Linked DNA regions of Canis lupus familiaris. Each later gene encodes a partner of the first gene's protein in a complex. Links are inferred from orthologs where the notes say so. Each region holds a gene or a part of one and is shown in the gene's direction. Other genes may lie near its edges.

Region 1 (4,045 bases):
AGATTTGCACAGACCTATCTTCAGTTCTTCAGAACTCTGTGTTGTTTTGTGTTAAAGATAATAAACATGGGGGGATCCCTGGGTAGCTCAGCGGTTTGGCGCCTGCCTTCAGCCCAGGGCATGATCCCAGAGTCTCAGGATTGAGTCCCACATCGGGCTTCCTGCATGGAGCCTGCTTTTTCCTGTGTCTCTGCCTTTCTGTCTCTCATGAATAAATAAACAAAATCTTTAAAATATATAAATAAAGATAATAAACATAACACCTCTTTTTTTCCCCATAGGAAAATGGTATAGATTAACTCAATAATAGTTGTCTAACTACCTGGTGTCTATTTCAATCACACGAAATGTAACTTTAACTATATGTAATATTTGAAGATTTACAAAAAAACATTTTAAAAAATTACATGTCCTTTCCAATCATCTTGTTCTTAGGGCAAAGAAAAGCTTGACTTGCTTAGGTTTTGAGCATTTGAAAGAAAAACTTGCCTTTACACACAAAACACACAAAGTATCTGAGAAGACATCACTGGCATGAGTGGGGGCTCTCGGCCCTATAGGCAGGCATAGCATTTGAGGGATTTGGTATCTGTGTTCTCCTTCAGGCTCAGCCAAGACTTGCTGGGTATGATGCTATTATTTGAAAATGTAACATGGGAAATAAATTCATTAACTTGAGTGCATACAAATAAATAAAAGTTTATACATTTAAATAAAGACTCAGGAACATTTCTAACTACAGAATAGCCGATCTTGAGCAGAGGACTTCAGCGACCCGCCACCTGATGCCTCTATTAGACGAGGTAATAGACATAGTGTTTTGTCAATATCTGCTTGGATCCTAGTTATGGATGGCAGGTTGCAAACTGGAGTTACCAAAGCTGAGTTTCAGAGAATCTGTCTCCGTTTAAAAAAAAAAATTTAATGCTCACATTCATTCCCATTACTGGGAATCAAACCCAAATCTCCCGTGCGAAAAATCAAAATCCATGGCGACAGTTCCCGGGATGTACTCTCCTTTTTACAAACCAGAACCATAACCAATTCTTGCCCGTCTGCTTCCGAAGCTCTGACTTTTAAATACTACACGCTTCTCTCTCGCCACCTGTGCGCCCCGCCTCCCCCAGGAACCCGCCAAATCCCATTAAGGCCCGCCCCCGCGAGCCACGCTCAGTCCCCACAGGCTCCGCGCTGCCCCGTTCCCACGCTGCGCGGCCGGGAGTACACTCGGTGGATTCCCTAAAGCCCCGCCCTCCTCTCCTCCGCTTCGCCCCTTTCCAGCCCTTCAGAACCGCCTTTCCCACCCGGCTATTCGGTTGGCCCGCGCCCTTGTGGTACGTCATTCACCCGCGCCACCCGGAAGCCACGGTTTATAGCAACCGTTCTTATTGCCGGCGGCTCTAAGGTGAGGGCCGCGTTTGGGTGTCCCTGGGTGGCAGAGTCCCAGAGTTGGGAGGGGCAGAAGGCGGAACCCCGGCCGGAGCCGAACGAGCCCACTCCCGCTGTCGAGGGGGTGCAGATGTACTGTGCCTGAGGCCAAACTGTGTGGTCAACGTGGTGTGCTCCGCTCCCCATTCCTTAGGAGCCCATCATGGCGACGCCCCCTAAACGGCGGGCGGTGGAAGCCACGGGGGAGAAAGTGCTGCGCTATGAGGCCTTCATCTGTGACGTGCTACAGCAGGACCTGCGGTGAGTGGCAGCGTGGAGGGCCGGGCGTGTGGAAGGTTCCACGTGGGGGGGCGGGGCGTCCAAAGTCAGGGTCTAGCCTTCTGATTGGTGGGAAAGGCATTTGGAGTCCAGCCCCGTGCGCCGATCCGGCGAGGAGGGGCGACATCCGGGGTGCTACTGGGCTGGGATGTGGCGGTTCTTGTAGAGGGTGTGTCCGCGCCTGTCTGGCCTCCCATCTCACTTAGCCGTGGAGCTAGATTCTAAAGCGGGAGTTCTTAGGTTCGAATCCTTGGCCTGGCCCCTTCGCCATCTGTGTGAAGACGTTGTACGCTGCCTCGACTTTGTGTGCCTCAGTTTTCTTATCTGTGAAATGGGAAAGTTCATGGAACCTTCCTCATGGGGTGGTTTTGAGTTTTTAATGTGTTCCCCCCTTGTAAAGGATTTAATGTGAATACTAGGGGCTCTATGAGTATGAAAAATTGTTACTATCACTATTAATCTGAGCAGGAAGTAGAGTGTTCAGAAGCAGGATAATGAACATCCTGAAAGGGATGGAAGATTTTTCTAGGGTGAGAATGGGACACTTTTTTTTTTTTTTTTGAGAATGGGACATCCTGATTGGACGGAATGTGGTAATAGTACTAATAAATAAGAGCTAAAACATATATAGAGCTTAGTTTTTGGTTAGGTGCTATTGTAAGTGCTTTGTAGTAAACAGTTCTCTTAATGACTTTGTGAGGTAATACTTGTCGTCCCTTTTTTAAAGATAGGGAAATTGACTCCTAAAGAGAAAATGAGTCCTAAAGAATTTGCTGAAGTCACACAACTAGTAAAAAGGAGAGCCTAGATTCAAACCCAAGCAGTCTGACTCACAATTCAAATCAACTTCTGCACTAAAATGCTTCTTTAAGGCATGGTGACATGAGGGTCTCAGTCATAATATGAGGTATTCTGACAGGTCCAGGGCTTCCTGTTGGTCACCATTTTCCTCTTGTCCCATCAGAAAAGTGCTGGACCATCGCGACAAGGTATATGAGCAGCTGGCCAAATACCTTCAACTGAGAAATGTCATTGAGCGGCTTCAGGTAAAAACAGCCAAGGTTAGGGACCATTTTGATGTGTTTGGGCAAGGGAGGGGGATGGGAGGAGAGACCCCAGACCAAAACCTGTCAGCTGACCTGAAAGGTGACCACTGACCCCTACCTCTTTTTCCCTGGCCCCACAGGAAGCTAACCCCTCGGAGTTATATATGCAGGTGGATTTGGGCTGTAACTTCTTCGTTGACACAGTTGTGTGAGTGTCTACCTGCCCCTCTGAGCCCACAGGGCTCAGCTTCCCCCTTCCTTCATGCAACAAATATTTTTTTTTGAGTATTTGCTATGTACCAGACACTGTGCTAGGTGCCGGGGATGTGACAGTGAATCGAATAGGACAAAACCCCTGCCCTCTCAGAGCTTCTAATTTGGGGAAGGTGGGAGGAGTGGAGTAAAAAAAAATTGCCAATAAACTGTATAGTATGCTAAACAGTAATAAAGACTTCCCCCACTTCCTCTAACCATTGTTTCCTCAGCCCAGACACTTCACGAATCTATGTGGCGCTCGGATATGGTTTTTTCCTGGAGTTGACACTGGCAGAAGCTCTCAAGTTCATTGATCGTAAGAGCAATCTCCTCACAGAGTAAGTCCATTCTATGAAGTGTCTAAAATACCACCATTTGCAACATCCTTTTCCCTTTCCCCATGGCTCTCTGAGATGATAGATACTTAAGGGCCCATTTCTCCTCCTCCCCAGGGCTAGGGCTGAGGAAAGTAGAGATGCAAAGCTCAGCCCCAAGAATAGCACATAGGAAGCACTCCATAAATGGTCTTGATATTGCTCACTCACACACACATTTGTTGGCTGTTCTATGCCAGGTTCTGTACTTGGCAGTGGGGAGGCCACAGTGAACAAGACAGAAGGGTTCCTTGAAGGCCTAATCTTGACCAGATCCAGAAGGTTTTGGCCTATAAATCAGTAAAACAAGTTACCTCCCGATTTCACCTCCTCCTAATTTTCTTGCTCCTTCACTGTGCTCTCACCACACTGATCTTCCTGGGCTTCTTGAAACACCCTCAGAGTGATCCCATCTTAGGGTAACCGCGCTCTCTGCCTATAACATGCTTTCCCTGGGTACATGCATAGCTTCCTTTTTCCTAACTCAGTTTAAGTCTTTTTTTATATAGTTTTTTTAAAGATTTATTTATTTATTCATGATAGACACACAGAGAGAGAGAGAGAGAGAGGCAGAGACACAGGAGGAGAGAGAAGCAGGCTCCATGCAGGAGCCCGACTCGAGACTCGATCCCGGGACTCCAGGATCGCGCCCTGGGCCGAAGG
Region 2 (2,868 bases), on another chromosome or scaffold:
GGTAGAGGTCAGTGATTCATCAGTCTGTGCCCTCCTTCATGCCCATCACCAGGTACCCCCCGCCCCCTTCCCTCCAGCAACCCTCAGTTTGTTTCCTAGAGTTAAGAGTCTCTTAGGTTTGTCTCCATCACTGATTGCATCTTATTTTTTCCTCTCTTCCCCTATGATCCTCTGTTTTTTAAATTCAGCATGAGTGAGATCATATAATTGTCTTTCTCTGATTGACTTACTTCATGTAGCATAACACCCTCTAGCTCTATCCACGTCTTTCCCAATGGAAAGATTTCTTTTTTTTTTCTGATGGCTGAGTAGTAGTCTAGTGTGTGTGTGTACTACATCTTACATATACTACATCTTCTTCATCCAATTTTTGTGTATTTAAAACTCTCACACATGCATATACATTCTTAAAACTTTAATAGATAATATAGAAGGTTTAAAAAATCTTTGTTTTAAATACTAAATAATTGCATCCTTTGCCAAGAGACATGAAAAAATTCTGTAAACTGTGTCATCATCCGAATGTCTTACTCCTTTTAATCAAAAGAGGTTGTATGGTCCAAGAAGAAGAAAGAATAGTAGGGATCTGCCTAGCACTTGTGTTTCTGCTCTGCTTCTGAGTTGCTTTGTCCCTCTCACACTCTTGGCCTCTATGAGCATCGAGGAAATGAAGGTAATGTCATGGTCGGTACCAAACAGGCTTTAGAGCCCCTCTGAGGAAGATTATTCCTGTTTTTCACTAGGAACTTCTTTTCCCCCTTCTCAAATCTAGACCAAATAGTATTTATAGTTGTTAACCTTCAGCTCTACTTATTTTATGAATTTATATGTTCAGCTGAAAAAAAAATGTTCTTAGAATTGCTTTTTTTTTTTTAAAGCAATGATTTTTTTTTAAGATCTAAAGTCTCCTAGCAGCACGTTTCCATGGCAATGGTACACACAAGGTCTGTGGGCTTGGGTCTGTGTCATAGAGCTCGACAGTTAGGAACAGAGTCTGCTGCTCATTCTGGAAGTGCTTAGGCGATGTTCCGCAAGTGTTACTTACAGCTTTTGCCTTTGCACTTGCGCTGCCTGTGGTGTCCAGGAAGCCGGATCTAGAGAAGGACTGCGTAAAAGATTATCAGGAACACCAAGCAAGTTTAATAAATAAGGCTAGGTCAACCTAGAACTTTATAATAAAAGAGAATACAGGCTCAAGCTGAGCAGAGATGATGTTTAAAAGTTTTTAGTAGAACCGAGCCCTTTATTTCTTTTTTAAAGCTATATTTTGGGGGATGAGGCTGAGGCTGAAATAGTGTCTATTTGTATAAAACGCAACATGGAGAGATTCTTTAAGTCCTTATCAGCTTGAGTACCCAGCAGAGAAGTAAAAATGGAGCTACTGGACTGTATGTGTATAAATACGGTGTGGAGAACGCTAGGATCTCTGTCCTTACCACTCCGGTCTTGTTTGCAGCGAGTACCCTATTCAGCGGTCAAAGAAAGATTCTGAGGGAGTCGAGATGGGAGTTGCGGGCTCGGTCAGCCTCCTGCAGAACGTCACCTTGTCTACCCAGCCCATTTCCAGTCTCGACTGGAGTCCAGATAAAAGGGGTCTCTGCATCTGCAGTTCTTTTGATCAAATGGTAAGAGTACTGATCGTTACAAAACTCCATAAAATTTGATCCGAAGACTTAGGACCTGAAACCTTCCGGAGGAACGCTCAGAGTATTTAGGACGTGCCCGGGGATCCTCTGGCCCTCACTAGCAGAGTTGGATTTGACGGATGAAAACAGTCCCCAGATGCAAACGTCCAGACCCGCCTCCTCTCCGGGTGTGAAACCCCGAGAGGTGTGTTCCATCCACTGGACTTGGACTGGTTTGCTGCAGCGTGGGGGGACCGCTGTCTCCAGAGCCGGCGCTGCTCATCTCTCCTCCATCTCTACGAAAAAGTTGGTACTTTTCTGCATTTAAACATGTTTTAAATTTGTTCTTCGACCCCAGAGTTACATATTTTACCATAACACCTGGTTTCAAATAGTTCAGTCTCAGTAAAAGTACCATGAATTAACCTTCATATACTTTGAGAGATTTCAGTGTCAGTAAGTTTCTGTACAGACTATTACTTTATAAAATACCGAAATGGCATGGTCAGACTAGATTTGGTAACTGTTTTCAGCTGTAAGACTCCTAAAACGAAATATCATTTACCAAGTGAATATTTATAGTGACCTCTTTTTACCTAAAAAACAGGAGTCAAATTAGACTTGCTTATTGGCTGGTAGGTGATGTTGAGATGTAGAAGATTATGGGGGTTTTCTAGCCTTATTTTTTTTGTCAAATCTTTTCATATATTTTATAAATAAATTTGTTTTTGAAATCTGTGGAAGCTTTGATTCTGTTCACGTAACAGTAGTAATAAGGCCAACACCATCACTTCTTTGCTTTATGAATGCTTAGTAAGTACCTCGTGATCCACGGTTTCATCGTGCTCACGGGATCTTTGGCTCGGCTCAGAGGCATTCACTTTGTCACGCCTTCCTTAAGCCTCCCGTCCCCCCCCCCCAACTCAGGAGTCGGAGCACCTAAAACACTTTAATATGTAAGAGTCCTGTGACTTTATGGGTGCTTGGAAACTCAGTGTTTTGGAGTATTAAATTCAGAAAATTGACCTTTTAAAAAAATCCCCAAGAGGTTTTTTTGCTGTGGTCATAATTATGGAAGTAAACTGAAACTGAATTTAAAGCCTGTACCTGCTGGGTTGTTTTGTTTTTCATTTTTAAAAGAAAAATAAAAAATATGGAATTCTCTTTTAGGAAACTTGTATTGGGTGGTGCATTTAGGTTTAAGTCAAGAACAATAATTACTTCTGTTTCATTAAATCTGCCA
Region 3 (2,941 bases), on another chromosome or scaffold:
TTCGTGTTTTCGACTTCGAATGTGGCAGCTATACCAGCGTTGGCAGGAGAGTAATGAAAAAAGAACCAGGTGTTATGTGGGGTGCCAGGAGAGTCACACAGTTCCTCTTCATCCAACTCACTCATATGCTCTCCCAAGCTGCAATCCCTCCTCACTCCCAGCTGGTCCTCACCTTTTTGGATTTGTCAATGCGACGGAACTTGCGAGCCACTTCCTCAGGGATGGGAGCAGGGCCTGGAAATGGATCCTGGGCCTGGGGAAGGAGGAAGCAATTAGCAGACAGGTTAGGGTTGACCCCAACCATCGCACCTGCAAAGTACAAGGCAACTTGCCCCACCACCTTATCAGGTCCCAGGCTCACCCCGGACAAATTTCTCTGAGGCTCAAGATTTCTCTGTTCTCGAGGTTTCTTCGGGAACTGAGGCTTCCCGGGGATCCGAGACTTTTTTGGGAGGTTAATGTTCTTTGGCCTCTGGGGGCGGAGCTCTCGATTCCTTTTCTTGTTACGAGGGGGCCCTGGAGAGGCTCCGGCAGCGGTCAGAGTGGCTTCCTTCTCCCAGTACCTCCGCGGTTTCTACGGGCAGATCACAAGCTCTAACACTCCATAGCCCTCGCCCCCCCACCCCCGGGACCCCGCAGCTAAAAATTTCCCTTCCACCCTAGCGAGGTCTCTACCTTCTTCTTGGTCTGAAGTCTGGCCTTCTTGGGCTGGACATCTCTGCCGGGTTTGGAGGCTGTTTCCATCTAGCCCACCGGAACGACGACCCACGTGCAAACTTCTCTCAGCTGTCCACAGACGGCTCGGAAACTCCCGGAAGCCCGCCGGCCCTCGTCCAATCAGTGCCTACCAGGTCTGAAGCCGTCTGAGCGCCATCTTGAATGAGGGCCCACTCTCTCTCGAGGGGCGGGGCAGGTCTTGGCTCCGCAATCCCGAGCAGCCGCTTATGCCCGAGTAATGAAAGAAAGGTAGTCTGGGGCTGGGGACAAAGTAACGGTGCAGTTTTTTTTTCCAGCTCCGTTTCCCTGTCTTGCCTAAAACCTCCCGGGTCCAGTTTTCTGGGGGAACACCGTTCACTAAACGTGCCAAAACTACAGTTCCCGGCATGCGTCAGAAGACAGCTTCCGGCGCCTTCTTTTCCCAGCATTCTTTGTTTACTTCCAGGTTTAGTAATAGTGAAGCGAGAACGTGAGTATGGCTGGGTTACGGTTGAGGGGCTTGGGGTCTTGCTGCGCCCGCCACCTCCTGGGGCCTGCGTGGAGGGCTCTCTGGGACGAGGAGAGGCTGTGGTGCCCTGGGAGGCTGCCTCGCAAGAGTGCTGTCCTTTCCGCAGGCCGGGCCAGAAAGGGGAGTTTAGGTACCTCCCAGAGTGAGACCCAGCGCCCGCTCCCACTCCCCGCGGGCCTTCGTCCCCGCCATGGCTGAGCTAATCCAGAAGAAGCTACAGGGAGAAGTGGAGAAATATCAGCAGCTACAGAAGGGTAAGGGAGCAGCGTCGGCGCGGCCTCGCCCCAGACCCTTCACTTACAGCCCAAAGCCAAACCAAGATAATATGTTGTGCCCCACTAGAGGCCCCGCGTGCAGCTCCTTCCCCATCTCGGAGCTCGTCCCCACCCACTGACCTGTTGCCGCCTCCTTGTCTACTTCCTCAGCTCCGTTTTCTTCTCACCAGGATTGGGGTTAGGCGGCACATGTGATGTGTTTAATCAACCCTTTCTTCCTAACCCCCAGACTTGAGTAAATCCATGTCGGGGAGACAGAAGCTTGAGGCGCAGCTAACAGAAAATAATATCGTGAAGGAGGTGAGAGAGGGATATGCCGGGCCAGAAGGGACCTGACCTGGAAGTGATTCTGATCTTGTATGTCCCATCCCTCCATCAGGAGCTGGCCCTGCTAGATGGATCCAACGTGGTCTTTAAACTTCTGGGTCCTGTGCTGGTCAAACAGGAGCTGGGAGAGGCTCGTGCCACAGTGGGGAAGAGGCTGGACTATATCACAGCTGAAATGTGAGTCTTTGTTCTGACACCCTGCAAGGCACCGGACGCCCCCAGCGTAGAATGTCGAGGAGCCGTTGGAGTAGTTCCAGGGTAGCCCTGTCTGATCTGCTTCCTCAAACCCTCCACGGGGAGTCCAGGAGAGTCCAACCCTTCAGCACCCTCAAGAGTAAATCCCATCAATTTCTCATTTGCTTGTCTCTCTTGCCTCTCTTCAGTAAGCGATACGAATCCCAGCTCCGGGACCTTGAGCGGCAGTCAGAGCAACAGAGGGAGACCCTGGCTCAGCTGCAGCAGGAGTTCCAGAGGGCCCAGGCAGCCAAGGCAGGGGCTTCTGGGAAGGCCTGACCCCATGGGGGGGGGAGGGAATGAGGCAGCTCAAGGGTCTATGCTGTAGCTAATAAAATGTGAAAACCCCTGGCTGTTTTCTGACCAGCCACTTCCTGTCATGATGGTCTCTTCCTTGGGCCCCTTCAACTTTATATATATGCCACCTGCATTACTCTGTTCGGTCCCAATTCTCGTGACTGGAATTGCCACAGAGTAATCCTCCTTTTTTCACTGAGACTAAAATCTGAAACGTCTCACACCTACTTGCCTATATACACTACGCTTGCCTTGGTTGGCATGCCCCTTAGGAAACATGAGAAGAGCATTTACCACGCAATGATCATTGGGAAGGCCAGTTTAACTACAGAGCTCACGGTAATCTAAACTGAGACCCCAGGGTGAAATGTGGTGACCCTCTTGCTATGCTTTCTTGTCATCCTCCAGAAAGCCCCAGCATCTTAGTCTCATTCTAGAATTTGTTTGAATGAAGTTTAGGCTGATTTAAAATCCCAGCATGGAACACTTTGTGATGTTGTAAGGCCCTCAAGTTTATACGTTATCCACAAAGTCATTCTTCCATTTCTTTGTCCTAAAATTGTTTCTTACAAATGTCCAACCA
Region 4 (4,013 bases), on another chromosome or scaffold:
TCCAATCATGAAACAATCCAATCATGAAATGGGCAAAAAACATGAACAGAAATTTCACCAAAGAAGACATAGACATGGCCAACAAGCACGTGAGAAAATGCTCTGCATCACCTGCCATCAGGGAAATACAAATCAGAACCACAATGAGATACCACCTCACACCGGTGAGAATGGGGAAAATTAACAAGACAGGAAACAACAGATGTTGGAGAGGATGTGGAGAAAGGGGAACCCTCTTGCACTGTTGGTGGGAATGTGAACTGGTGCAGCCACTCTGGAAAACTGTGTGGAGATTCCACAAAGAGTTAAAAATATACCTGCCCTACGACCCAGCAATAGCGCTGCTGGGGATTTACCCCAAAGATACAGATGCAGTGAAACGCCGGGACACCTGCACCCCGATGTTTATAGCAGCAATGTCCACAATAGGCAAACTGTGGAAGGAGCCTCGGTGTCCATCGAGAGATGAATGGGTAAAGAAGCTGTGGTCTATGTATCCAATGGAATATTACTCAGCCATCAGAAAGGACGAATCTGACCATTTGCTTCGACGTGGATGGAACTGGAGGGTATTATGCTGAGTGAAATAAGTCAATCGGAGAAGGACAAACATTATATGGTCTCATTCATTCGGGGAATATAAAAATTAGTGAAAGGGAATAAAGGGGAAAGGAGAGAAAATGAGTTAAAATATCAGTGAGGGAGACAGAACATGAAAGACTCCTGACTCTGGGAAACGAACAGGGGGTGGTGGAAGGGGAAGTGGGCAGGGGGGTGGGGGTGACTGGTGACGGGCACTGAGGGGGGCACTTGACGGGATGAGCGCCAGGTGTTACGCTATACGTTGGCAAATTGAACTCCAATAAAAACATATACAGGGACGCCCGGGTGGCTCAGCGGTTTAGCGCCGGCTTCGGCCCAGGGTGCGATCCTGCAGTCCCGGGATCGAGTCCCACATCGGGCTCCCTGCATGGAGCCTGCTTCTCCCTCTGCCTGTGTCTCTGCCTCTCTCTCTGTCTCTCATGAATAAATAAATAAAATCTTAAAAAAAAAAAATATATATATATATAAAAAAGAGGCAGCTCCGCGGCCCACGCCCTCTGAGTCTGCAGGGGGCGCTCCAGCCCCGCCCCCAAGGCTAGGCCCCGCCTCTCGCGTCCCCAGGGCGCCCGGGTGTTAGCGCCTGCGCACCACTCTTCTTTTAATTGCGCGTGCGCGCCGGAAGGCCTGGCCGTGCGCTTGCGCAGCCGAAGCCGAGCCCTACCGGCGTTGGAGCTGGGCTCGCTCCCCGGTCCGGGCTGAGTCGGAGCTGGCGGGCCCCATGCTGTCCCCCGAAGCGGAGCGGGTGCTGCGGTACCTGGTGGAGGTGGAGGAGCTCGCCGAGGCGGTGCTGGCGGACAAGCGGCAGGTGGGAGGCTCCTCCGCGGCCCGGGGCCAGGGCTCGGCGGTCGGGGCCTGGCGGCTGGCGCCGTAGGGCCGCGCGCGGGGCCCGGAATCCCGCGGTGGCGCGGGCTGGCCGTGGGCTCCCGACCGTGACCTCGGACCTGGGGCGGCGGGGAGGGAGGGAGGGAGGGCCGACACCTGGCCCGGCGCTGCGCCTCACGTACGTATTAGGAGCGCCTGCTTGGTGCCACGGATCCCTGTCTCCGTCCCCCTCCGGATCCCGAGCCGTTATCTCTTTGGGTAACGGCTCAACACCTTTTTCAAAATGCAGTTCCTCCTCCTCCTCCCCCCTCCCCTGCCTCCCCTGCCCCCCCTGCCCCCCCGACCGTGGGTGCACTGTCTTCGCCAAGGTTCTCGGGAGGAGAGGAAAGGGGGCCTGAGCAGTTTTGACGTTGGGCAGGTGGGGACGCCTTGTGCTAATTTAAGTGCTAAGTGTTTGGAGGGAGTTAATGGGGGAAGGGAGGAGGATGTAATTGGATCTGGGCTTTAAAAAGATTTCCCCTGGCTGCGGGGTGGAGCACAGAGCCTAGAAGGGTAAGGGACATGTGAGGGGCCACTGCCGGGGTTCAGGCAAGGAGTGGGTTTGGGCCAGGGTGGTGGTGAAGGAGACAAGTGCGTGGGTCTGAGGTATCTTTTGGAGTTGGATTTAGTAGGTCTTAATGATAGTTACATATGGGGGTGAGGGAGGAGGAGGAGTGAAGAATGATTCATGGCTCCTCATCTCCAGTTAGAATAATTGGATGATTGGTCGGATATTTACTGAGAAGGGGAAGACTTGGGTAAGTGCCCATTAAACACTGCATCAGGGTGTGCGGGATGATGATAACGTGGTGGTTAAAATGTCTCAAGCACTTACTGTGTGTCAAATACTATGCTATCTCATTTGATTCCTGGCTCAGTAACCTGTGAGGCAGGTGCTATTCATATCTCCATTTCCCAGAAGGTGATGTTACACAGCTCGCCAGCGTTCTCAAGAAACCGCACTGCCTCCTCACTTCCATAGCAGCTTCTGTGTTGGTGCCATCTCTGTGCCCCCCACCCCTGCCATTGCAGTCTAGTATTTTTGGGCTTCTTGTGATACTAGGTCAGCATCAGCCGGAGGAACTAGTCCAGGGGGAGGTTTCTCCTCTCTTGGAGATTCTGAAATGCCCTGAAGCTTGAGCATTAGCACTTCAGTGGATTCCCCAGCACCTTCTGGGGAGAAGGGGGAGGGCCCCTGCACAGAGCATTGTCTTTAAGGACCTGGATACAGAATAGGGGAAGATGTACATTTACACATCAGTGTGTTTTAGGCATGACATTGGAAGAAACTCAGGAATGAGTTTGTCTCTATTGGGTTTTAACAGCCCCTGGTCTGTTGGGAGGTGATGGTTTGGGGCAAGAGGGAGCTGAGTTCCCTCCTGCCCATGTGCTTTGCAGATTGTGGACCTGGACACCAAAAGAAATCAGAACCGGGAGGGCCTACGAGCCCTGCAGAAGGATCTCAGCCTCTCTGGTAAGTCAAGGTTTCAGTCATGCAGTCCTGGGGGCCTGTTCTGTTTTTCTTGTAAGGCTTTCAATTTATCCCTGATAGGGACAAAAAGCCACAGTTGTGTGACACAGCCTATGGAGATGAGGGAGAAAATGTTGGAGGTCTGATACAGAGTGGTTTCAGCTGCTCATCTCCATGACAGGGGTGGGGTGTGTGGGGGGGGTGTTAGTTGCTGGCTCATTGATGGCACGAGGAAGGTGCTAGGGTGAGGTGTGCTCTTACAAATAAAACTACATAATACTTAGTTGGAAGTTTTTTGTTTTTGTTTTCTTAATTGGAAGTTGTAAGCAAGCTGAGGAAGGAACTGGACAGAAAAAAAAAAGGGAACTGGACATGGGGTGGGTGTTGGAGGAAGGGTTTGAGGGCTCTAGTTGAGGCCAGGTGGGTATGACCAAGTAAGGGGACGGGTATCATAATGAAGGTTACAGTGGTCATAATGAAGAACTTTGGGGGGAGATGTGCAGGGCCTACGCCTCACTTTCTTCAGGTCTCTGCCCAAATGTCACATAATCAGTGAGGCTTTGTTGGACCATCTGTTAAAGTCAAGGTTGTCTTGTACTCTGGCATTCCCCACCCCCTTACCCTGCTTTATTTTTCTCCAGAGTATTTAGCCTTATCAGGGTCTGACAAATCATATCTTGGCTTATTTATTCCTTCTCCTCCACTATGTCATAAGCTCTATGAGGGCAGAAACTTTGTCTTGTTCTGCTGTGTTCTCAGTATCTTAAACAATGCTTGCCAGAGAGTAGGTGCTTAAAATATTTGTTCAAAGAGTGACCATTTGCCATTTCAGAAGATGTGATGGTTTGCTTCGGGAACATGTTTATCAAGATGCCTCACCCTCAAACGAAGGAAATGATTGAGAAAGGTAAGGCTTTCTGGGGATGGGTCAGGGACGTGTCCCACATAGCATTAGTCTTAACCTAGAACTGAGAATCAGGCTTTGGACCATTTGATGAGAGGCAGCGCTCAGACAAATGTGGGTTTTAATTCCTGCTTTGCCACTCTGAGTTATTTCCTTATCTCTGAAGGAGGGGAT
Region 5 (3,499 bases), on another chromosome or scaffold:
AATCTTTAAAATATAATAAAATAAAAATGTAAAACCAAAACCATCTCTCTCTTCCTCCTGAATTCCAGCCCTTTTGTCCTGCCATCTTTCCCTACAAAAAGAACAGCTCACTAGAAATAAGAGACAAGTGGATGTGCTGGAAGACACTGACTGTGCTTATTTTGTGGGGAGAAAGTGTGGTATTTTTGTTTTCTTAGCTGTGTTTAGCTTAGCTCTGTTTTCTGGGTTTGTGACTAATAAAAAAAAAAAAAAAACACAAGTTACGTGGACATAAAACAAGGAATGTTAGAGTGTGGCACACTCCCACCTCCCCACATCAGGGCCCTCTAGTCCATGTTGCTGTTCTTAAAGACTTTATCTTTTAGGTAAGTTGTTGTTTGTTATCTTCCTGGGTTTTTAGTAATCGGTTTGTTGAGCAACCAACAAACAATAAGCTGCACACAGTGAAAGTACAGGATGTTGGGGCACCAGGGTGGCTTGGTAGTGCGTCTGACGCTTGGTTTCTTTTCTTTTATTTATTTATTTATTTTTTTAAATAAAGATTTTATTTATTTATTCATGGGAGACACAGAGAGAGAGAGAGGCAGAGACACAGGCAGAGGGAGAAGCGGACTCCATGCAGGGAGCCCAATGTGGGACTCAATCCTAGGACCCTGGGATCACGACCTGAGCCAAAGGCAAACACTCAACCATTAAGCCACTCAGGCATCCCTGAAGCTTGGTTTCATCTCAGGTCATGATCTCACGATTTCATGGTCATGGGATTGAGTACTGCGTTGGTCTCTGCACTCAGTGCAGAGTCTGTGTCAGATTCTTCCTCGCTTCCTCCCTGCTGCCCGTCTCTCACTCTTTTTTTTTTTTTTTTTTTTTTAAGATGTTTTAAATTTATTCATGAGAGACACAGAGAGCAAGGCAGAGACATAGGCAGAGGGAGAAGCAAGTTCCCTGTGGGGAGCCTGATGTAGACTTGATCCCAGGACCTGGAGATCATGACCTGAGCCAAAGGCAGATAGATTCTCAACCACTGAGCCCCACCAGTGCCTCTCCCTCCCTCAAATAAATAAATAAATAAATAATTTTTAAAAGAGTTTATAGGATGTTAAGTTTTGACATATCCACAGTCCATTGCCCCCTAAAGCATCCCTGTGTCATGCCCATTTCCAAGCTGTGTTGGGGAGACAATGGGCCCCCTCTGAACTCCTTGGCTGGCCTGTCACCCATCTCAGGGCTCTAAGGTCGGCAAGCTGACCCTCAAGACCACAGAGATGGAGACTATATACGACCTGGGCACCAAGATGATTGAGTCCCTGACTAAGGACAAGGTCCAGGCTGGGTGAGTGGCAGGGGGCCATGGTAGGTGGTCAGGGTGGGGGAATCTCGAGCCCTTTCATGTCCTCACTCCCACCCTCCTCCACATGCAGGGATGTGATTACCATCGACAAGGCCACAGGCAAGATCTCCAAGCTGGGCCGCTCCTTCACACGCGCTCGCGACTATGATGCCATGGGCTCCCAGGTGGGCCAGGGCTTTGGGGGTCCGCTCACTCCAGGCACCAGGATGTTTGCATCTCCTCTATCACCCCCATGGCCCAGAGGGTCCGGATCCTCCAGTAGCCCCACCCCATGTCCCTTACTCCTGGTTCTTCCCTGTACCCACCAGGACAAGGAGGGCACTTCATCTTTGCAGTTTGCTCATGGTTTCTGAGGTCCTCCAGTAACCTCCGATCCTTCAGTGCTCTCGAGTGCCCTGGTGGTAACTTCCTCTTGGACCTGGGATTTCTGGATTCTTAGCTCTACCCCAGGAAGTCCAATCTCCCCCAACTCTCCACCCAGACAGCCCCTTTGGGCCCCCTTTCATGTTCTTCTTTACTCTTACCTCTCCCTCCCTGCCCCCTGGCCCCATAGACCAAGTTTGTGCAGTGTCCAGACGGAGAGCTCCAGAAACGCAAGGAGGTCGTACACACCGTGTCCCTGCATGAGATTGATGTCATCAACTCCCGCACCCAGGGCTTCCTGGCTCTCTTCTCAGGTGAGGCCCAGCAGGCTGGCTCTGTTCATGGCACACACTGCTCCTCCTACCTCCAGTACAGCCCCCTGGTTCGTCCTACCCACACTGTTGCCCTCATTCCCTCTTGGATAGTCCCAATGGGGGCTTGCATGTCCTACCCTCTCTTCTTCCTGGGTTCTTTGCCTCGGGTCTTCTTCTCTGGGACATTGCAGACCGAATGAGACACTCCTTCTGTCACTTTGCCACTCCAGTTTTGATCTCTCTTCCCTCTATCCCTGGTGTCCCATCTTCATTTCTCTCTGTCCACTCTCCGGCCCTCTGTCCCTGTCTCCTCTCTGACACTCCCTGTGTCACCCCCACCTCCTTCAGGCGACACAGGGGAGATCAAGTCAGAAGTCCGAGAGCAGATCAATGCCAAGGTGGCCGAGTGGCGTGAGGAGGGCAAGGCTGAGATCATCCCTGGCGTGAGTACCAGGGTGTGGCCAGGGCAGGCGGCTCACAGTGAGAGCAAATGGGAGGAAAGAGGCTTGGGTAGGTTTGACACATGCCCCAATGGCTCCCAGGTGCTGTTTATCGACGAGGTCCACATGCTGGACATTGAGAGCTTCTCCTTCCTCAATCGGGCCCTGGAGAGTGACATGGCGCCCGTCCTCATCATGGCCACCAACCGAGGCATCACCCGGTGAGCCAGCTGCTGGCCTCCCCAGAGGTCTCTGGGAGAAACAGGGTGCTCCAGGTAGTGGGTATGGGCACAGGGTAAACAGGGAATGTTTGTTGAGTTCCCTGTCAGGAAGGGTATGGACTTAGCTGGTGTCACAAGGCTATCCATGTACGGGGGCCTAGACAAAGTTTGTCTTTTAGCTTCTCCCTAAAACAAAGCAGGCGGGTGCTCAGGGCGGTAGGCAGGCAGTTCTGCTCCATCAGGAAGTTGAGGATCATGTTCTTTCTGTATTTTAGTTCCTGTAGCCCTTGAGGCTCAAGTTCCCAAACTGTGTGCCAAGGCATGCCAGGATGCTGCTGAAAACACATGAGTGCTCTGGGATGTTCTGAGTTTTCTTTTCTTTTCTTTTCTTTTCTTTTCTTTTCTTTTCTTTTCTTTTCTTTCTTTTCTTTCTTTTCTTTTTTCTTTTCTTTTCTTTTCTTTCTTCTTTCTTCTTTCTTTTTTTAATGATTTTATTTATTTATTCATGAGAGACACAGAGGCAGAGACACAGGCAGAGGGAGAAGCAGGCTCCATGTAGGGAGCCTGATGTGGGACTCGATCCTTGGCCTCCAGGATCACGCCCTGAACCGAAGGCAGATGCCAAACCGCTGAGCCACCTAGGCGTCCCATGTTTTGAGTTTCTGAGGGATGCACAGAGACAGATGTGTTTGACACTGCCTGCATCACTACAGTTAGGTCATTTAGCCCTAACGACCTTATAGAACAAAACTTAATATTGCTTTTGGCCTAAGAATGCCGGGGGAAAATTTTAGAGCCATGGAGCTCACC
Region 6 (4,114 bases), on another chromosome or scaffold:
CAACAAGGAAGCTACCTTTCCCTCCCCCTTTCCCTGATACCTGGCAAGCTGGGTATATTCTCCCAAAAGGTTCCCACCCAGTGGCTCAGACAGGCGTAGTGTCTCTGCAGGGTCCCTTGCAATGAAGTCAAATGCCTCAGGCAGGAAAGCCAGGCAAGCACCCAGTCTGGCAGCCTCTCGAACAAGCTCGGCGCATGTTTTAAAGTTCTCCTGCTTGTCTGGTGTTGATGTTACCTGGCACACAGCCACCAGCGGCAGTTCCCAGGAAGAAGAGGAGATAGCCATGGCTCTGGGACTGTGAATGGCACGGGCAGGGCTCAGACTTCCAGAATGGGGAAATGCAAATTTAACAATCAGAGTCTTAAGTGGGGGAGCAGGAGGGCTGCGCTGCCCTTTGGTTTCTGCTTTTCAGGGCTCCCCACTGATGAAATGTTCTGTGATGGTTGGCACCCCAGTGTATCCCACCATCTATGCACATCACAGACATTTACTGAACATCTATTAAGTGTCAGGCGCCAAGGACAGAGCAAAACATGTTACCTGGGCTGTGCACAAAGTACTGAGAGTCGAGGTATCCGGAGTCCAGGACACAAGAGAAGGGGCAGGAGCTGGTGAGGAGGCCTGATGATGAAGCCCAGCCTGAGGAAGGTGAGAAATCAGGACACCACTCCCGCGCTCAAGCAGCACATTTCCAGGATTCTCTGACTCCTCTCTTCATACTGGGAGGCTGAAGCAGGGCCCTCGCAGAGAAACACCCCCCCTCCCCACCAAGTCTTACTGGGAGTAATTATGGGCTACAGGAAGACTCATAAAGTGGGAAGACAGAGGAAGGGGCTTTGCTCGGCACCTGTCTCGGCTCCAGTGGGCTCGTATTAGATTGAAGCCCCCCCACCCCCACCCCGCCCCCGCCCCCACCTGCCCGCCCGGGGGAACATACCCGCGGTTCAAAAGGCATCCCCAAGAAACCTCCCTGCTCTCCCCAGCCTCTCCCCTTCACTGGGCACCTGCACGGCGGCACTGCTCAGCGGATGCCCCCTTACCCCGATCTCCGAGGGGAAGCTCACCGTCCCTCGCCCCTCCCACCCCGTGGGGGGCAAAGGGCACCGGCACCCACACACATCCCAGCCCGCGCCCCCACGCTCCGGTCAACCCGGCCTCTCCGCCTCTCCCAGGCGCAGCGGCTCCCTTGCACGGGTTAAAGCCCCGCAGCGGAGTGCACCGCTGGGTCCTACATGAGGATAGAGCCGAAACCGTCGGCAGCGTCCGACCGGAGGAGCGGCCTGGAAGCGGCGGCCCCGGGGCCAGGGGGCGGCAACCTCCAGGCCGGATGTGACGCACGGGGGCGGGGCCGCGCAGGCCGGAAGCGCAGCGGGCGGCGAAGATGGCGGAGAGCAGCGGTCGCGCCGGCAAGAGCAGCGGCGGCGGCGCGGGGAAAGGGGCGGTGTCGGCAGAGCAGGTGAGGAGCGGAGGGCGCGAAGGAGGGCAGCCGGGCCGGGCCCGAGTCGGTGCGAGGAGCGGGCGGCGCCGCTGGCTGGGGCAGGCCCCGCGCGCGTCCCGGCGTGGCGGGGCCGCCCCGAGAGGGGAGGGTCCTCGGAGAAGCTGGCCGGGTCCGGGGGAGAGCGCGGGAGGGTTGGTCGGTGAAGGCCACGCCCCCCCCGGGGTGCAGGGTGAGCCGGCCCGGGGCCCGAGCCCGGCGGGAGGGGAGGGGAGGGGAGGGAGGGGAGAGGAGGGAAGGGAGGAGAGGGAGGGGGAGGGGCGGGGGGCGGGCGTGGCTCTGCCTACCTCCCCGCACCCTCCCGCAGGATAGGCCGGGCCCGGCGGCTCGGCACGAATCCCCGGGGATGAGCCGGCGGGCTGGCCGTGTGGCCTGTTCGGTGACCCCGGCACCACGCTGACCGTCGCCCTCACTCTGCAGAGCCACGTGACTCGCATGCCCCAGCAGTCCGCCGTCCCATACTATTTTGACCCGCACGTCGTTATTAGATTGGATTTCCTGAGCGACCAGAAACCGTGTTGTAACCCGAGTTTGCATCTCCCCCAGTGTCTCAGCAGCGGGAGACGTGTGATAAACAACCCGGAGAGCCTTTTGTGGCGCGCGGGGAGCCCTGGTTTGCTAATGGCGGGGCTAGTGTGTAGTCTGGGTGGCAAGAAATCCCCGCGACAGAAGGGAAAACCTAAGACAACAGCTCTTCTCGCTGCAGGCTCGCTCGCTTGTCAGTTATTTGTCGAATAGTCACCGCAGGCAAAGGTGTCTCCATAAAGATTTTTCAAGTTGGCCCACGCCATCAAAGAGCTCACAGTGAAATAAGACCTACTAAGTGCTAACATAAGGCCGAAGATGAGTGTCCTAACAGGTATAAAGTGCTGTGGGATTTTTAAAAAATATTTTATTTATTTATTCATACAGACACAGGCAGAGGGAGAAGCAGGCTCCATGCAGGGAGCCCAACGCAGGACTCCATCCCGGGTCTCCAGGATCAGGCCCTGGGCTGAAGGCAGGGGCTAAACAGCTGAGCCCCCCCGGGCTGCCCAGTGCTGCAGGACTTTGGGGGGGGGGAACGATAGTTTCTGCCCCCCGACCCGTGTGTTGTGGTGGGAGGAAAAGGAGAAGGAACCTAATACTTTCTGAGGGGTGGCTAAGAGCATAAGAAGTGCCCTAGGGTTGGCGGATCTGTTTTAGAATCACGGTTCTGCTATTTATTATGTGTAGATGACCTCCCATGAGTTCCCTCTCTCACCTTGTAAAAATTTGGCAGTTCATACTTCATCACTGTTTTGATTATTATTAGACAAGAAATGCATGCAAAGTGTTTTGCACAGTAATGAGTATAGTGTTTGTTTTTCTGGGAGAGATAATCCTTCAGTTCTAAAGGATGAGAGAAGTTAGTCAAGCAAAGAAAGAAGCGGAGGGACCCCTGGATGGCTCAGCGGTTTGGCATTTGCCTCCAGCCCAGGGTGTGATCCTGGAGACCCGGGATTGAGTCCCACGTCGGGCTCCCTGCATGGAGCCTGCTTCTCCCTCTGCCTGTGTCTCTGCCTCTCTCTGTCTCTCTCGTGAATAAATAAATAAAATCTTAAAAAAAAAAAAAAAAAAGAAGGAAGTGGAGAATTTCCTAGGCAGAGACTAATGTCCTTAAAAGCAGTGAGGCATGAACCTTTCTGGCCTGTTGGGGATGCAGGTGGGCTTAAAGTATGGGGTGGACTGCAAGACTTCAATGTGAAGAAAACGGGATAGAGAGGAAACTAGAATGTTTCTCAGATTTATGTCTTTGATGGATGCTTGTTCATAGGCAATGTAGGAAGATAGGAAATGCCTAGGGGGGTGGGGAATATGTTTCTCTTGGGGTTTTGAGTTTGGATTTCTTGTAGGACATTCAAGTAGAGGTATTTAATAGTTGGTTTGATTTATAAATTTTGAATTACATTTGAGTCAGAGAACTATAAGCTTATGGAAGGCTGATAAAGTCATGGTAATGGGGGTAGCCCCGGTGGCGCAGCAGTTTGGCGCTGCCTGCAGCCTGGGGTGTGATCCTGGAGACCCGGGATCGAGTCCCACATCGGGCTCCCTGCATGGAGCCTGCTTCTCCCTCTGCCTGTGTCTCTGCCTCTCTCTCTCTATGTCTATGAATAAATAAATAAAATCTTAAAAAAAAAAAAAAAAGTCATGGTAATGGGCAAAATCATCTAGGGTTTGTGCAGAAAGTTGAAAAAAGAAGCAGCAGAACAAGGATGGAACCAATATTTAAGGGGTTATGGAGAAAGAGAAGAAGCCCTCCAAAGAAAGCGAGCAGTTGTGATAATTGAGTTCTGAGGCTGTTCTTGCTTAACATTCTATGGCCTTTGTGTTTCAGAGAGAACACTGGATAAAAAATGTAAGATTTATTGGGGCACCTGGCTGGCTCAGTACATAGAGCATGTGATTTTTGATCTTTGGGTTGTGAGTTCAAGCCTCATGTTGGGCCTAGAGCTTACTTAAAATGTTTTTTAAATTTTTTTATTTACTTATTCATGAGAGACACAGAGAGAGAGAGAGAGAGAGAGAGGCAGAGACACAGGCAGAGGGAGAAGCAGGCTCCATGCAGGGAGACTGATGTGGGACTCAATCCCAGGACCC
Region 7 (3,999 bases), on another chromosome or scaffold:
GAGAGGGAGCAGCTGTAGGAATGTCAGAAGAAGGGCGTATCCACCAGAGGGTGCAATGTGTGCAAAGGCCCTGGGGCTGCACTTTGCCTGCTGCGTTGGCTGCAGGAGGCCCCGGGGGAGGGGGGAGGGGAGGTCAGAGGCTGTCGTGGGGCAAGCCTGGGGCACACCTGGGAGGCCTCGTTGATTGCCTTGAAAAGCCGGGGTTTTCCTTTGCTGTTGCTGCATTTCAGCTGAGAGATGGGGGAGGGGGAGAGGAGGGAGAGGGCCACAGATGGGGGCTCACGTCGGCGCCTGCAGTTCTGAAGGTGGAGGGTTTGCAGTCGGACAGGATGGACAGGATGTGGAGAAGGGGCAGGACGGAGGAGCGGAGCTGCCGGCCCAGGGCGGACAGACTAGGGAGAAACGGGTGTAGACGGCAGATAAGAAAAAACGGGCTGGCGGAGGGGGTGCCTGGGGGGCTCCGTTGCTTAGGCTTTTTTTTTTAATTCTCGAGAGACAGAGACAGAGAGACAGAGAGAGAAAGAGAGAGAGAGAGAGGCAGAGACACAGGCAGAGGGAGAAGCAGGCTCCACGCAGGGAGCCCGACGTGGGACTCCAGGTCTCCAGGGTCACGCCCTGGGCTGCAGGCGGTGCTAAACCGCTGAGCCACCCGGGCTGCCTTTCTTTTTTTTTTTTTTTTTTTTAAGACTATTTACTCCTGAGAACCGCTGGGGGAGAGGCAGGCTCCTGCGGGACCCGATGCGGGACTCGAGCCCACGATGCGGGGATCACACCCCGAGCGGACGCTCAGCCACGGAGCCACCCGGGCGACCCGAGGCTGCTGCGCAGTAAGGCGGCGGCGACGCCCAGCAGCGGGATGCGTACCTGGTGGGGGGCCTGACAACATGCCCTGCGCCCCGGGGAGGCGAGCTGACCGCTGACCCCACCCTGGCCTCAGTTTCCCCGCCCACACCTCGCCTCCGCCCTTCCGGATTCCAAACTCCCCACCCACACGGGCATCGGGCGGAAACCACAACTCCCGACAGGCCCCGCGGCCGAAACCCCGCGACAACTGCCGAGGCGAGAGTGGGCGGTCCCGTTCGCTCGGCTCTGGCTCCGCCCACCGCCGCTCGCAGAAGGCCCGGGCTGCCCTCGGCGCTGCCGCCCGCGAAGGTCTCTGGAGTCCGGCGTTCGCTGTGGGCAGCCCCGCGCGGGGCTTGGCAGGGCTCGGCGCAGGCGCAGTCAGCGCGGGCCCCTGCCGCGGGCTCAGGCGCGCGGGTTGCGAGCGGCGGCCGCCATGGACGACGAGGAGGAGACGTACCGGCTGTGGAAGATCCGCAAGACCATCATGCAGGTGAGCCCGCGCGGTCAGGGCGGCGGCGGGCGCAGCTCGGAGCTTCCGGGCGCGCTCGGCGGGTGCGTCCCGGCCTCTGCGGCCCCTTCCTGTGCGGTCCCCACGCGCTCGGAGGCGCCGGGCCGCGGCCCTGTCCGTCCTTCTCCGCGGTGACGTCATCCGGCCGCGCCCCTCCCGCCCCGCCCTCTGAGCCCGGGGGTCACCCGGCTGGTGCTCCCTGCAGCTGTGCCACGACCGCGGCTACCTGGTGACGCAGGATGAGCTGGACCAGACGCTGGAAGAGTTCAAGGCCCAGTTTGGGGACAAGCCGAGCGAGGGGCGGCCCCGGCGCACGGACCTCACGGTGCTGGTGGCCCACAACGACGACCCCACCGACCAGATGTTTGTCTTCTTTCCAGGTGAGGGTCGCGTGGGTCCTGGGTGGCTGCGTGACCCCTAGGAGTCCGCAGCCCTCGTGCAGCCATCCAGGGACGGTGTCTACACCCGCCCTCCCGAGTGCCCAGCCTGCTGCGCACGGTGCCACGGGGTGCTGATGGGAGCCCTGGGTTCTGTTCCCCGCTGACTGTTCGTTCAGTGCAGCCGGATTGTCGCAGGCCTCCCGGGGGGCCCAGCCCCCTGCCCAGAAGCAAGGGCGTCGGAAACCTTTGCAGGAGGGACCCTCCTGGTGCTCGTGCAAACAGCGTCCCCGTGTGTGGGTCGGCCTGTGGCAGGGCCCTCCCTGGAGTGGGCCCGGGGCGCCCGTGTGCTCCAGTGGGCCACAGAATGGGACTGAGCGGCCGTGCTGGTCCACCTGGACCGCCGCGACTGGGCGCCGCAGACCGGGCGGCTTCAGCAGCAGCCTGACCTCTTCCGGGGCTGCAGGCAGGACGTCTGAGACCAGGGTGTGCACGGGGCTGGGTCCCCCTGAGGCCTCTCCCTGGCGTGCCGGTGGCCGTCTTCTCCATGAGTTCCCGAGGTCGTGCCTCTGTGTGTCTGTGCTGTTGTGTCTGACTGAGGTCCATCCTGACAACCTGGTGGAATCTCCTCTTTAAAGACCTCAGTTCCAAGTACGGTTGCACCCGAGGTCTCGGGGGTTAGGATTGTAACACGGGGATTCCGTGGGAAACAGCTCAGTCCCTGACGCTGCCCGTCAGGTGAGCAAGGGTCCGAGGGGAGTGCTGTGATGGGGCAGATGTGGTGCACCACACGCACCCGTCCTGGCAGCAGGCACCCAGTTGCTCACCTTCCACCAGGCTCAGAGGGTCCCGCAGGTCTTGGCCCCTGTACTGTGGTGAGCGTGAGGGTTCCCACCGTGGCTGTGCAGGGAGGGGGTTTGGTCCTTCAGGTCAGCTGCTTCATCTGGGGATTCCAGACATTGCACCACGTAGGTCCCCAGATTCAGCTTCCAGGGAGGGATCCACCAAGTGGGTAGATGCAGGGCACCCATCAGCTCCGTGGGGGCTGGGGGGGAGGACTGGCACCCTGGTGGGTTCCCTGGGGCCCTAGAAAGAGGGAGCTGGTCCAGAGAGGCACTGCTACACCTTGGCAAGGTCAAGCTGGAGCCCGCGCGCCTAGCAGGGTGGAAGTGAACGAGCAGGTGAGTGAGCAGGGCCCTTGGGGCAGGAGGGACTCTTGCAGTGTAGACCTCGTGTGTTCTGTCCCCAGAGGAGCCTAAAGTGGGAATCAAGACCATCAAGGTGTATTGCCAGCGGATGCAGGAGGAGAACATCACCCGGGCCCTCATTGTGGTACAGCAGGGCATGACTCCCTCCGCCAAGCAGGTGGGCACGCTGCTCGTGTTGGCCGCACGTCCTCATGGGCCCCAGGATCTGGGGATCTGAGAAGGAGCGGCTCTCCCGTGTGGGCAGAAGCCAGAGCAGGGAGGTGCCCTGCATGGGTGCCAGCATTCCTGTGGTTAACAGGTCCGAGGAGGGGCTGCTGTTTGGGACGGAGGGCCAGCTCTGTGCGCTCGTCCCTGCAGGGTTCTCTACGTCACACCAGCACAGGGACAACTGCAGGAGCATTTTGTTAGGTGTCACAGTTTGTGTCGGGTGGTCTCTTCCTCCCAGAGGAGCCTTACTGACCTGACACGTGGGAACCCCCTTTGGCTCCCACCTGCCCTCAGCCCCTGGGAGAGGTGGGGTGGCGGCGTCTTGGGCCTTGGCTGTGCGTGAGGGTCAGCCTCTCTTTCAGTCCCTGGTTGACATGGCCCCCAAGTACATCCTGGAGCAGTTTCTGCAGCAGGAGCTACTCATCAACATCACGGAGCACGAGGTGAGGGCCTTAGTGGGGGTCTGCGGGAGGGGAGGCTGGACGGCTGGTGAGGTGGCACCTGCCCGAGCACAGGGAGGGCCTGGGGACGCACCAGGTGCCGCTGCTCCCACTTTGTGGGGAGGAGGAAGCAGAGCCGGAGTCTCAGTGAGGCCCTGGGCACTTGCCAGGTGTGCAGTCAGGCAGCTGGGGGGCAGGGGGTGGGGTCTGTCCAGGGGCCCCTGCACTCTCCAGGTTATACCCCCCCAGGCGCCTGCAGGCCATAGCTCCTTCCCCCCAGGCGTGGAGTCAGGAGCAGGGTGGGGTGGCAGCTGGGACCCTTGGGTGGATGGTTGACTCCAAGGAAACAGCCTGTGGCGCTCTGCTCCCCTTTCCCGTGTGGGGGCGCCGTGGGGCCTGTCACACCCACAGACTCA

The links.
Region 2: UXT (region 1) and WDR92 share a complex: the UniProt entries of both Homo sapiens proteins name them as parts of the PAQosome complex. The link is inferred for Canis lupus familiaris from reciprocal best matches to the Homo sapiens genes UXT and DNAAF10.
Region 3: UXT (region 1) and PFDN6 share a complex: the UniProt entries of both Homo sapiens proteins name them as parts of the PAQosome complex. The link is inferred for Canis lupus familiaris from reciprocal best matches to the Homo sapiens genes UXT and PFDN6.
Region 4: UXT (region 1) and PDRG1 share a complex: the UniProt entries of both Homo sapiens proteins name them as parts of the PAQosome complex. The link is inferred for Canis lupus familiaris from reciprocal best matches to the Homo sapiens genes UXT and PDRG1.
Region 5: UXT (region 1) and RUVBL2 share a complex: the UniProt entries of both Homo sapiens proteins name them as parts of the PAQosome complex. The link is inferred for Canis lupus familiaris from reciprocal best matches to the Homo sapiens genes UXT and RUVBL2.
Region 6: UXT (region 1) and PFDN2 share a complex: the UniProt entries of both Homo sapiens proteins name them as parts of the PAQosome complex. The link is inferred for Canis lupus familiaris from reciprocal best matches to the Homo sapiens genes UXT and PFDN2.
Region 7: UXT (region 1) and POLR2E share a complex: the UniProt entries of both Homo sapiens proteins name them as parts of the PAQosome complex. The link is inferred for Canis lupus familiaris from reciprocal best matches to the Homo sapiens genes UXT and POLR2E.

The regions. Positions count from the first base shown.
Region 1 is NC_049260.1:41,479,973-41,484,017, reverse strand, and holds the start of UXT (protein UXT), read left to right. Parts: upstream 1-1,245; 5' UTR 1,246-1,405; intron 1,406-1,582; 5' UTR 1,583-1,591; coding exon 1,592-1,689; intron 1,690-2,671; coding exon 2,672-2,768; intron 2,769-2,893; coding exon 2,894-2,961; intron 2,962-3,238; coding exon 3,239-3,346; intron 3,347-4,045. UniProt on the Homo sapiens protein: Involved in gene transcription regulation. Acts in concert with the corepressor URI1 to regulate androgen receptor AR-mediated transcription. Together with URI1, associates with chromatin to the NKX3-1 promoter region.
Region 2 is NC_049231.1:68,505,325-68,508,192, reverse strand, and holds the end of WDR92 (WD repeat-containing protein 92), read left to right. Parts: intron 1-1,456; coding exon 1,457-1,664; 3' UTR 1,665-2,368; downstream 2,369-2,868. UniProt on the Homo sapiens protein: Key assembly factor specifically required for the stability of axonemal dynein heavy chains in cytoplasm.
Region 3 is NC_049233.1:2,883,259-2,886,199, forward strand, and holds PFDN6 (prefoldin subunit 6), read left to right. Parts: upstream 1-1,144; 5' UTR 1,145-1,186; intron 1,187-1,331; 5' UTR 1,332-1,415; coding exon 1,416-1,479; intron 1,480-1,729; coding exon 1,730-1,800; intron 1,801-1,879; coding exon 1,880-2,004; intron 2,005-2,210; coding exon 2,211-2,340; 3' UTR 2,341-2,441; downstream 2,442-2,941. Other genes in the region: WDR46 (WD repeat-containing protein 46), read right to left, coding at 1-28, 173-253, 362-574, 676-744. UniProt on the Homo sapiens protein: Binds specifically to cytosolic chaperonin (c-CPN) and transfers target proteins to it. Binds to nascent polypeptide chain and promotes folding in an environment in which there are many competing pathways for nonnative proteins.
Region 4 is NC_049245.1:21,885,703-21,889,715, reverse strand, and holds the start of PDRG1 (p53 and DNA damage-regulated protein 1), read left to right. Parts: upstream 1-1,213; 5' UTR 1,214-1,321; coding exon 1,322-1,408; intron 1,409-2,862; coding exon 2,863-2,938; intron 2,939-3,767; coding exon 3,768-3,842; intron 3,843-4,013. UniProt on the Homo sapiens protein: May play a role in chaperone-mediated protein folding.
Region 5 is NC_049222.1:108,061,521-108,065,019, reverse strand, and holds part of RUVBL2 (ruvB-like 2), read left to right. Parts: intron 1-1,226; coding exon 1,227-1,333; intron 1,334-1,421; coding exon 1,422-1,515; intron 1,516-1,904; coding exon 1,905-2,028; intron 2,029-2,376; coding exon 2,377-2,471; intron 2,472-2,570; coding exon 2,571-2,689; intron 2,690-3,499. UniProt on the Homo sapiens protein: Possesses single-stranded DNA-stimulated ATPase and ATP-dependent DNA helicase (5' to 3') activity; hexamerization is thought to be critical for ATP hydrolysis and adjacent subunits in the ring-like structure contribute to the ATPase activity.
Region 6 is NC_049259.1:22,183,246-22,187,359, forward strand, and holds the start of PFDN2 (prefoldin subunit 2), read left to right. Parts: upstream 1-1,314; 5' UTR 1,315-1,381; coding exon 1,382-1,456; intron 1,457-4,114. Other genes in the region: NIT1 (deaminated glutathione amidase), read right to left, coding at 41-295, 541-639, 1,233-1,234. UniProt on the Homo sapiens protein: Binds specifically to cytosolic chaperonin (c-CPN) and transfers target proteins to it. Binds to nascent polypeptide chain and promotes folding in an environment in which there are many competing pathways for nonnative proteins.
Region 7 is NC_049241.1:58,128,631-58,132,629, forward strand, and holds the start of POLR2E (DNA-directed RNA polymerases I, II, and III subunit RPABC1), read left to right. Parts: upstream 1-1,199; 5' UTR 1,200-1,276; coding exon 1,277-1,333; intron 1,334-1,556; coding exon 1,557-1,731; intron 1,732-2,977; coding exon 2,978-3,093; intron 3,094-3,505; coding exon 3,506-3,586; intron 3,587-3,999. UniProt on the Homo sapiens protein: DNA-dependent RNA polymerase catalyzes the transcription of DNA into RNA using the four ribonucleoside triphosphates as substrates.